Xenopus tropicalis: one gene and its partners. The protein of the gene in region 3 interacts with the protein of the main gene of each other region in a pairwise test. Links are inferred from orthologs where the notes say so. Each region holds a gene or a part of one and is shown on either strand. Other genes may lie near its edges.

The links.
Region 1: the proteins of lmo1 (region 3) and sox5 interact in binary tests that used the Homo sapiens proteins (3 or more experiments, as listed by UniProt). The two-hybrid records come from large-scale screens. The link is inferred for Xenopus tropicalis from reciprocal best matches to the Homo sapiens genes LMO1 and SOX5.
Region 2: the proteins of lmo1 (region 3) and gabpb1 interact in binary tests that used the Homo sapiens proteins (3 or more experiments, as listed by UniProt). The two-hybrid records come from large-scale screens. The link is inferred for Xenopus tropicalis from reciprocal best matches to the Homo sapiens genes LMO1 and GABPB1.

Annotation. Positions count from the first base shown.
Region 1 is NC_030679.2:1,650,722-1,654,472, reverse strand, and holds the start of sox5 (transcription factor Sox-5), read left to right. Parts: upstream 1-856; 5' UTR 857-938; coding exon 939-976; intron 977-3,751.
Region 2 is NC_030679.2:104,958,149-104,961,899, forward strand, and holds the start of gabpb1 (GA-binding protein subunit beta-1), read left to right. Parts: upstream 1-1,243; 5' UTR 1,244-1,374; intron 1,375-1,415; exon of another isoform or gene 1,416-2,475; intron 2,476-3,075; exon of another isoform or gene 3,076-3,397; intron 3,398-3,751.
Region 3 is NC_030680.2:3,645,866-3,649,516, reverse strand, and holds part of lmo1 (uncharacterized protein LOC100144284), read left to right. Parts: intron 1-1,103; coding exon 1,104-1,317; intron 1,318-3,651. UniProt on the Homo sapiens protein: May be involved in gene regulation within neural lineage cells potentially by direct DNA binding or by binding to other transcription factors.

The sequences.
Region 1 (3,751 bases), on a different chromosome or scaffold from region 3:
TGCCCAGACTCCTCTCCCGGTTGCCCAGACTCCTCTCCCTGCTGATCAGGCTCCTCTCCCGGTTGCCCAGGCTCCTCTCCCGGTTGCCCAGGCTCCTCTCCCGGTTGCCCAGGCTCCTCTCCCGGTTGCCCAGGCTCCTCTCCCGGTGCCCAGGCTCCTCTCCCGGTTGCCCAGACTCCTCTCCCGGTTGCCCAGACTCCTCTCCCTGCTGATCAGGCTCCTCTCCCGGTTGCCCAGACTCCTCTCCCGGTTGCCCAGACTCCCCTCCCTGCTGATCAGGCTCCTCTCCCGGTTGCCCAGACTCCTCTCCCGGTTGCCCAGACTCCTCTCCCTGCTGATCAGACTCCTCTCCCGGTTGCCCAGACTCCTCTCCCGGTTGCCCAGACTCCTCTCCCTGCTGATCAGACTCCTCTCCCGGTTGCCCAGACTCCTCTCCCGGTTGCCCAGACTCCTCTCCCGGTTGCCCAGACTCCTCTCCCGGTTGCCCAGACTCCTCTCCCGGTTGCCCAGACTCCTCTCCCTGCTGATCAGGCTCCTCTCCCGTTTCCCAGGGCTGTGGGTCCCGGTGTCCCGGTGCTGGCGGTGCCCGGGGTGGGTCCCGGTGTGTGTGGGGCTATTCCCGGTGTCCCGGTGCCCCGGTGGCTGTAGCTGGCAGGCTGCGGGCAGCTGAGTCAGTGAGTGCGGCAGGAAGCGGCTGATGGTGCCGGAGGGAGGGAGGGAGGGAGCCGGAGGGAGGGGGCAGGGGGTGGGGGAGATGGGGCTGTACTGGCCCTTTAAGGATGTGGCCAAGGAGTCGCTGTGTGTGTGAGTGTGTGAGAGAGTGCGGCTCCGGGAGAGACAGACACAGAGACAGAGGAGACAGAGGAGAAGCCGGAGAGCAGTCAGTTGCTGGGAGTCGGGAGCAGAGCAGCCCCCACACAGGGACCCGGACCCCAGCGATGCTCACGGACCCCGACCTACCCCCGGAGTTTGAGAGGTAAGTGCCCGGGGCAGCTGTGCGGGGAAAGGGCTGCGGGATGTGCCCGGCTGGGTGCCCGCTGGGGAGGTGCCCGGGTCCCTCGCTGGAAACTTTCAGCTCCTACCCCCCCCCCCGGCTCCTACTTTCCCTGTTACTCCGGGGTCTCTGCCCGACTCCCTGCAGCCAACTTTCCCGGCAACTGGGTGCCCTCTCCGTGCCACCCCCATGCCCACATACCCCTCCGGGCCGGGGTAACTGGGGGGCAAGTCGGCAACATCAGTAAACAGGGAGCGGGGCAAATGGCCAGGTCTCCCAAACTATTTCCCCTACTCCCTGCCCCCCAGTCAGAGCCCTGCAGCTACCCCCTAGTTACCCCCTAGTTACCCCCAGCCCCTCTGCTACTCACTCCCTGCACCCTGCCCCCCAGTCAGAGCCCTGCAGCTACCCCCTAGTTACCCCCTAGTTACCCCCAGCCCCTCTGCTACTCACTCCCTGCACCCTGCCCCCCAGTCAGAGCCCTGCAGCTACCCCCTAGTTACCCCCTAGTTACCCCCTAGTAACCCCCAGCCCTTCTGCTACTCACTCCCTGCTACTCACTCCCTGCACCCTCCTCCTCAGAACCCTGCAGCAACCCCCTAGTTACCCCCAGCCCCTCTGCTACTCACTCCCTGCACTGCTACTCACTCCCTGCACTACTACTCACTCCCTGCACTACTACTCACTCCCTGCCTGGCACTACTACTCACTCCCTGCCTGGCACTGCTACTCACTCCCTGCCTGGCACTACTACTCACTCCCTGCCTGGCACTGCTACTCACTCCCTGCACTACTACTCACTCCCTGCCTGGCACTACTACTCACTCCCTGCACTACTACTCACTCCCTGCCTGGCACTACTACTCACTCCCTGCACTACTACTCACTCCCTGCCTGGCACTACTACTCACTCCCTGCCTGGCACTACTACTCACTCCCTGCCTGGCACTGCTACTCACTCCCTGCCTGGCACTGCTACTCACTCAAGGCTACTTACCCGTCTCCCTATCCCCTCTCGCTACTACTCACCCCTCTCGCCGTTCCCTCGCTCTCTCTCTCTCAGACTCCCTGCACCCAGGGGGCCACTGATATCTCTTTCACTTTAGCCGTATGCCCTAGATACCTGGCACTCAGTCGGGGCAAAGCCGGCAGACTCTGGGCACTTTGTGCCCCTATTTATGGGGTTGTTTATCCTGGGAACCGAGAGAAGGTTGCCTTGTGATCCTGCTGTCAGACTGTGCCCAGACCCAAGTGCCGGCTCCCTGACTGCCAGGCCAGCGGGCATATCTCTGCCCCTATTCCCTGTGCCCGAGGGGCAGCGCCAGGGTTGGCACAACTTTGTTTTTCTCCCAGTGGAAATGTAAATTTGTGTTTGAATTTCCCGAGCTCAATGTAAATACTCCCCGCGTCTCGCTGTTTGCCCCGGGGCACGGGGGGGGGGGGCAAGCAGGATCCCTTACCCATCACATGCCCCCCCCCCCGTGCCCAGGGGAAGCGCCGACACTTTTACTGAATTTCACTTCTTTTCCCCTGAAATAAGAGCATCGCCGGGAGTTACTGCCCCCCGTACCCCCCGTGCCCCCCGTGCCCCCCGCGCCCCCCGCCGCTCTACAAACAGACATTTATGGAACCATTTGATTTACAGAATTTCTATAGAAAGTGACATAATGATATGCAAACATGTAAATGAATTAATTGTTAATTATAACCCCCCCCCCCCATTACATGGAACAGCCCTGAAACTTTACAGATACATTGTACCCCCCCCAGGAATTGCCCCCCTACTCAGTGCAACAGGTTAGGGGGTCTCACAGCTCCCTGGGGGGGTCGATACACTCGGGGGGGGGGCGACTTCCAGGCTTCTGCCGCTTGATTCAATCAGTTGCTCTGGGCCTCGGGGGCTTTTATTTGCTTTAGTCAGTGTGTTGGAGCCCCCTGGGGGGGGCAGTTGAAAGGTCGGATAGTGAGAAGGGGACGGATACTGATTCCCGTTAGACTGGGCAGAGGAGCTGACATTTTGGGCCTGTGTTTAATGAATATGTTTTTGCACCAGGGGTTACTGTTTGTGGCATTTATAGGGGGGCAATTTCTTCCCTGGGGGTGTCAGAACCAATCACTGCTGTACCCAGGGCAAGTTACCCCGGGACGGGGTAGAACCGAGGGAGAGACCATCCCCGGCCGGTAACTTTTGGTTTTGTTTGAATGCGCCGAAGTCCATTCACCTTCTCTGTGGCCCCCGGCTGTAAATGTTATATCAGCGAACCCTCCCCATTGGTTGATCATTGATCTGCCGCCCCCGGCCTGCCAATGAATGCGGATGTCTATATACTGTCTATATATATATGGGGCAAATCTGTATCCTGTATATATATATATATGGGGGAAATGTGTATCTGTATCCTGTATATATATATATGGGGCAAATCTGTATCCTGTATATATATATATGGGGGAAATCTGTATCCTGTATATATATATATGGGGGAAATCTGTATCCTGTATATATATATATGGGGGAAATCTGTATCCTGTATATATAGATATGGGGCAAATCTGTATCCTGTATATATATATATATGGGGGAAATGTGTATCTGTATCCTGTATATATATATATGGGGCAAATCTGTATCCTGTATATATATATATGGGGCAAATCTGTATCCTGTATATATATATATGGGGGAAATGTGTATCTGTATCCTGTATATATATATATGGGGCAAATCTGTATCCTGTATATATATATATGGGGGAA
Region 2 (3,751 bases), on a different chromosome or scaffold from region 3:
TGGACTCTTAACTAAACTTTATGTAATAGCATTACAAGCTCTCATTCTCTGTAAAGTGCTGCAGAACCTGTAAGCTAAGGTAATGATCATGTGAAAAAAAAATCAAGAAAATTCAGCAAAAAGAGCATTAACGTGCAGCCCTGCAACATGCATTTCTTAAAGGAAAAAGAAAGGTAAAGTCACTTGGGGGTGCCAAAATGTTAGGCACCCCCAAGTGACTTTAACCGCCTACCTTTTACCCCGGGCTGGTGCCCCTGTTAGGAGAAAATAGCACCAGCCCGGGGTACCTGGAGTGCAGCACTTCCTCCTTCCGCCTTCCACTTCCTAAACTGCCGGTGGCCGGGCATGCACAGTAGAGCGAAAAAGCCGACTTAAATGTTTAAGTTCGGCTTTTCACTCTACTGCGCATGCGCGCGCAGCGAAGCCGGAAGGAGGAAGCGCCGGCAGCTACCCCGGGCTGGTGCTATTTTCTCCTAACAGGGGCACCAGCCCGGGGTACAAGGTAAGCGGTTAAAGTCACTTGGGGGTGCCTAACATTTTGGCACCCCCAAGTGACTTTGCCTTTCCTTCCCCTTTAAGTGCCCTTAAATTTTTTTTTTGCGATGGAGCAGCATTAAATGATGTGCCAAAAGATAGTGAATAGGTATCGCATGAACCGTCTTTACTTATTGCACAGGCTCTATTTATATCGTTCAAGTTTGAGCCACACATCTTTCTACCGTACAGCACTGGGGGAGATGTATACAAGTGAGAATTGCTGCCTAGTTAATACATGCTGAGCAATAAAACAAAAAAAAAAACAATTGAAACGTAGCATCTGGTGTTTGTGTAAACGCATTCAGTTAAACGAGCAAAACAAAAAAGTCGGAAAGCCACAAACAACCGTGCCACTTGGCACACAGAATGCTAATAACGGAACCGGCAGCTTATTCCGGAGACAACCCACAGTTCCACAAAACGCCACTAGTTCGATTCCATTCCACGCATGCGCTACTTCGCTGCGTCCTCGCCTCGTCTTGTGTATCCCTCCGCCAGAACCTACTTTCCTTCCTGTAACCAGCAAAATGATTATAAACAAATATGTTTAATAAACTGAGAATACAGTTCAATCAGAGTAACATTTAGGCATTAAAATAACTTATTTACAATTAAACACAACGGCATAGTCAGTCGCGCCACCTTCCCTAACATGAAATCAAGGCAATGCGCGCACACAAAATATAGTGCACCTCCGCGCTAAACGCGGGGACTTTTGTGCGGGGATTTTCGGCGCCGATGAGAAGGCGATTGAAGTAAAACCGGCTTGGTTTGAAAGGAAAGCTCCCCAGCAGAGGAGAGCAGGGCAGCCGAGACGGTACCAATACGACGGGCACGGTAAGCTTAGGCAGCGCTGGGAGACGTTTCTGTCAGGTTACCGAATCTTTTCCAGGTCAGTCTTGGGTGTCGGGCCCTACCGGATGTGGAAGTTGATCTCTTCTGTGGTAAAAAATAATTCAACTTCCCCCGGAACCCAGATCATCCGAACGATTTCCTGTTTATTGCGTTAAAGCCGGCGGGTTTCCGGGGATCCGGGGCTGTGCCAGGGGCTTCCCGGGTTCTGGGGGTTCTAGAAGCGAAGGGAACTGTAAAGGCGGGAAGGGCTGATGCCTGGCTATGCACAGGCGCTTCAGAAGGCCGCGGTTCCGAGAGGCGGGAAATGTAACCCGCCAAGCATTTCTCTGACTAAAGGACATATTTTGCTTATTACTAATAAATTGTGTTGTTGCTCGTTGACATGTTATTAATGAGGTCTGAAGTATTTTGTTCCCTCGCACATCGGCCTGGGATTGTGCTCGCAGCGCTTTACACGAGGCTCAGGCTGGCCAACGGGGGTTTTATTCTTATATTTGTGCAGTCTGCATCCTTTACTTGCTGCTATACTACATCTCCCGGCACACACAGCGACAGCAAATCATAGATTAGAAAGTAAGCTGCAGGCTTGCAGAAATAATTACATTCATGCACTAATATGTCCTCCGCGGGTGGCACTTACAGTGGGGAGCTGCTCATTGGCGGGCATGTTTGGTTTGGAATCAGTTTAAGGCCTAGGCTATACACATGCTTAATAACCCTAGAAACATGCCACGCTTGCTTTATTATTCATTCAAAGTTCTTGTCACTGAACATGTTATGCGCATTTTGTACGTGTAATGTCACCCAGTTTTATTCCAGCGTTCTGTTCTTTTATTAAATGACACCACTATTGCCACTGTCAAGATGATCGGTTTTGCAGTATTGTTAAGCAGGAGCTGCGAGTTTGGAGCTTCTATGTGATTGCAGAGCTGTCCTTAGGGACTGTGCCAGCAGGGGGCGCTGCATGAGGAGCCTCACAGGCATCTGTATGCAAGGAACATGTATAGAAGTTTTATACTGGAACTATCATTAAGCTTGCCTTTGTAAGCAGTAGGGATGATAGGCATAGCCGCTAGAATAGTTAGGGGGGAAAGCAACAGTCAGCAGGAATGTCTCACTCTGAGCTTAACTCATTTTTTTTTAACTACAGGACCATGGTTTTAGCTCAGCAACTGCTAAAAGACTTCATTTGTGATAGTCTTGCTTTATATAAATAGTGGGGCTCTGAGTACCGCCACAACCAAGGATATTCTGGTGAGCTATGGGTCTCTTCCACCAATTGCTGTTTGTCCCTGGCAAAGTTTAGCTGCCTAAGTTCAGAAATAGGAGGCACTGCTTTGCACCATATTGACCTGTTCATTACATCACTGGCAGCATTTCTTGAATTGTCAGTCGCATCTGGGTTTGCACCCCTTAGAGCAGGGGTCCCCAACCTTTCTACTCGAGAGCCACAGTCAAATGTAAAAAGACTTGGAGAGCAACACAAGCATCATAAAAGTAAATTGAGGCGCCAAATAAGGGCTAAGATTGGCTATTAGGCAGCCTCTATGTACACTATCAGCTTACAGGGGACTTTATTTTGTAGTAAATCTTGTTTATATTTAACCTAAACTTGTCACCAAGTCAGGAATTCAAAAATAACTACCTGGTTTGGGGGCACTGAGAGCAACATCCAAGGGGTTGGTGAGCAACATGTTGCCAACATGTGAGCCACTGGTTGGGGATTACTGCCTTAGAGTTAATTTATATTCTGCTGTTTACTAAATAGTGCAACTGGAGAGGGCCCTTTTATCTATCTATTTGTATGTGTTCCTTATTTAATACTTCTATGTGTAGTTACCACTTTATAATTGCACTAGAGTAGTAATGCAGGAAAGCTGGAAAATCTGCTTTTATAAATGTCTGTCTGGAATCTCTGTAAAACATCTGAGCTTTTATCAGCGAAGAAGGAAGTTTGTAAGCCACATGTCAGAAAAAAACTGATTTACTCAGCAGTTCTCAAAAGGTAAAGTTTTAGAGGCTTAGATATCTTGGCATGCAGACCACGTGATGTGGATGTTTATTCTAAGTGGCATTGTAAATGTATGTTCAGTGCAATAAATACTGTGACTGACAGTGCTTCAGCTCTGAATTTTCTATGTTCAGAATATTTATACAAAGTATAGTAATGTTTCTAAAGCAAACGCATACCCATATTACGGTTATCCCCCTCCCCATTGAAAATGCATAAAACCCCTTTGTTACTGGCAGCGTTGGGCTGAGCTCAGAGTGTGGTTGGTGTATGGCTATCACACTTCAAATAAATGGGCCTGCTGGGTTGATGTCTCTATTTATCAGAACAGGCCTTTTATTGTAGATT
Region 3 (3,651 bases):
GGAATGTAAGGGCCACACACCCCCCCCCCCAATGTAAACGATGAACCAATTGTACTTTTGAAGGGGGTTGTTCACCTTTGAGTTTACATTTAGTATGACCTAGAGAGTGATACTCTGAGACAGTTTGCAATTGGTCTTCATTTTTTTATTTCTTGTAGTTTTTTAGTTATTTCATTTTCCGTTCAGGAGCTTAGAAACTATTTGGTTGCTAGGGTCCAAGTTACCTTAGCAACCAGGGAGTGGTTTGGGTGAGATACAGGTATATGAATAGGGGAGGGGCTGAATAGAAAAAACAAGTTATAAAAAGTAACAATAAAACTGGAGCCTCACAGAGCAATAGGGTTTGGCTGCCGGGGTCAGTGACCCCCATTTGAAAGCTGCAGGGTTCAGGCCCCATATGGATTGGAATAGAAACCTGTGCGGCCCCATTGGGTGGGGAACACATTAACTGCCTGCCGTGGCCCCCACCTGATGGGATTTACTCACATTCTCAATAGATATCTGACCAGGGCTTGGGTCAACTAGACCATCATTTCTGGCCAATCAGGAGTCAAGGGGCCCCATACTGTTAAGTTAGCAGGTTCCGCCCCCCAGGGGCCCCCAGTTATTAACCCATAGGTCAAGGAAACTTCCTACCATAGAATGGGGCCCCCATGTAGGAACAACCTCACCCATAATGCCCCCAAACTTCTCTTGGGTCCCTGACAGCGGTGCCCCCTGTACCCCCCAATGGCATCGCTGTGGCCCCATCACTAATCATAGGGCCCGATACTACAAGGTCCTTTTCCCCCATGATCCCCATTAGTCATCAGGGCACTGGCCAATCACAATGGGGCCCCAATCGAAAGAAGCCCCGTACATGCTTAGCCGTACCCCTAATTTGCCCCTTTGGCCAAAACTCTGTTTAAAACCCCCCCACCCCCCCACCCCTCAGTCTGTGTTTGGCCCCCACCCTGATAAATATCCCTTATTCACTATTTCATATTTCTATAACAGATAATAATACTGTATATATATTTTGTTTTTTTCCCAGTATGTGACACAATATTGGACTTATTTTTCTGTTTGTTCTTCTCTCCCCCCCCCCCCCCCCCCCCCCCCAGGGGTCCCGATGCTCTCAGTGCAGCCCAAGGGCAAACAGAAAGGCTGCGCCGGGTGCAACCGCAAGATTAAGGACCGTTACCTGCTCAAAGCGCTGGATAAATACTGGCACGAGGACTGTCTGAAATGCGCCTGCTGCGACTGCCGCCTCGGGGAGGTCGGATCTACTCTCTATACGAAAGCAAATCTCATCCTGTGCCGCAGGGATTATCTGAGGTATGAGCAGCAGTCCTGCCCTGCTTTATGGCTGAGATTCTAGCTATCTGTATAACAGAGCATTCTGTCACAGTGGCACAGATCCTATCTGATCCCCCCATTGTAAGCAGCAGTCCTGCCCTGCTTTATGGCTGAGATTCTAGCTATCTGTATAACAGAGCATTCTGTCACAGTGGCACAGATCCTATCTGATCCCCCCATTGTAAGCAGCAGTCCTGCCCTGCTTTATGGCTGAGATTCTAGCTATCTGTATAACAGAGCATTCTGTCACAGTGGCACAGATCCTATCTGATCCCCCCATTGTAAGCAGCAGTCCTGCCCTGCTTTATGGCTGAGATTCTAGCTATCTGTATAACAGAGCATTCTGTCACAGTGGCACAGATCCTATCTGATCCCCCCATTGTAAGCAGCAGTCCTGCCCTGCTTTATGGCTGAGATTCTAGCTATCTGTATAACAGAGCATTCTGTCACAGTGGCACAGATCCTATCCCCCCCATTGTAAGCAGCAGTCCTGCCCTGCTTTATGGCTGAGATTCTAGCTATCTGTATAACAGAGCATTCTGTCACAGTGGCACAGATCCTATCTGATCCCCCCCCATTGTAAGCAGCAGTCCTGCCCTGCTTTATGGCTGAGATTCTAGCTATCTGTATAACAGAGCATTCTGTCACAGTGGCACAGATCCTATCTGATCCCCCCATTGTAAGCAGCAGTCGTGCCCTGCTTTATGGCTGAGATTCTAGCTATCTGTATAACAGAGCATTCTGTCACAGTGGCACAGATCCTATCTGATCCCCCCCATTGTAAGCAGCAGTCCTGCCCTGCTTTATGGCTGAGATTCTAGCTATCTGTATAACAGAGCATTCTGTCACAGTGGCACAGATCCTATCTGTCCCCCCCATTGTAAGCAGCAGTCCTGCCCTGCTTTATGGCTGAGATTCTAGCTATCTGTATAACAGAGCATTCTGTCACAGTGGCACAGATCCTATCTGATCCCCCCATTGTAAGCAGCAGTCCTGCCCTGCTTTATGGCTGAGATTCTAGCTATCTGTATAACAGAGCATTCTGTCACAGTGGCACAGATCCTATCTGATCCCCCCATTGTAAGCAGCAGTCCTGCCCTGCTTTATGGCTGAGATTCTAGCTATCTGTATAACAGAGCATTCTGTCACAGTGGCACAGATCCTATCTGATCCCCCCCCCCCATTGTAAGCAGCAGTCCTGCCCTGCTTTATGGCTGAGATTCTAGCTATCTGTATAACAGAGCATTCTGTCACAGTGGCACAGATCCTATCTGATCCCCCCATTGTAAGCAGCAGTCCTGCCCTGCTTTATGGCTGACATTCCAGCTATCTGTATAACAGACTTTCAGACACAAATAAAAGCTCTTTAATATGACAATCCCGTCCCTTATCCGCTCACATTTTGGAGACTCAGATTCATTTCTCCCACAATGATTTGAGACAGAAACAATAACTACGAGGAGAGAAGCTGCTCGGGGCCCAGAATGTAAAAACATTTATAAAATTGTTTTTTTTTTTCCCGTCTAAATCTGCTCAGCGATCCATTTGGTGCCAGATAATAGAATTACGGGGGGCTGGGAGGGGAGTGGGAATTTAGCAATATTACTTGTGTCCTTAAGAAATGATCCCGTGGGGGGGGGGGGGGGGGGTTGGCCGCCATATTGCTGCCCCCAGAGGTAGAAGAGAATCAGACGGAGCCCATTTATCAGGCAGAGGCTCAGTATAGAGACGGCCCCCACTAATGGGTTCATCTTCCATTTATTATTTCTCTTTATACAGCAACATCGCTGCTATTTTCTGCCTCATTTGCAGGTTTTTACCTTTATAATTGTAATATCTTACAGCCCCCCCCCCCAGCCCAATAAATAGTGACTGTCTGTGGCACCTTACAGCCCCCCCGGCATTCCCAGTACCCAGAGGCACAAACAGCCCCCCCCCCCCAGCCCAATAAATAGTGACTGTCTGTGGCACCTTACAGCCCCCCTGGCATTCCCAGTACCCAGAGGCACAAACAGCCCCCCCCCAGCCCAATAAATAGTGACTGTCTGTGGCACCTTACAGCCCCCCTGGCATTCCCAGTACCCAGAGGCACAAACAGCCCCCCCAGCCCAATAAATAGTGACTGTCTGTGGCACCTTACAGCCACCCTGGCATTCCCAGTACCCAGAGGCACAAACAGCCCCCCCAGCCCAATAAATAGTGACTGTCTGTGGCACCTTACAGCCCCCCTGGCATTCCCAGTACCCAGAGGCACAAACAGCCCCCCCCCAGCCCAATAAATAGTGACTGTCTGTGGCACCTTACAGCCCCCCC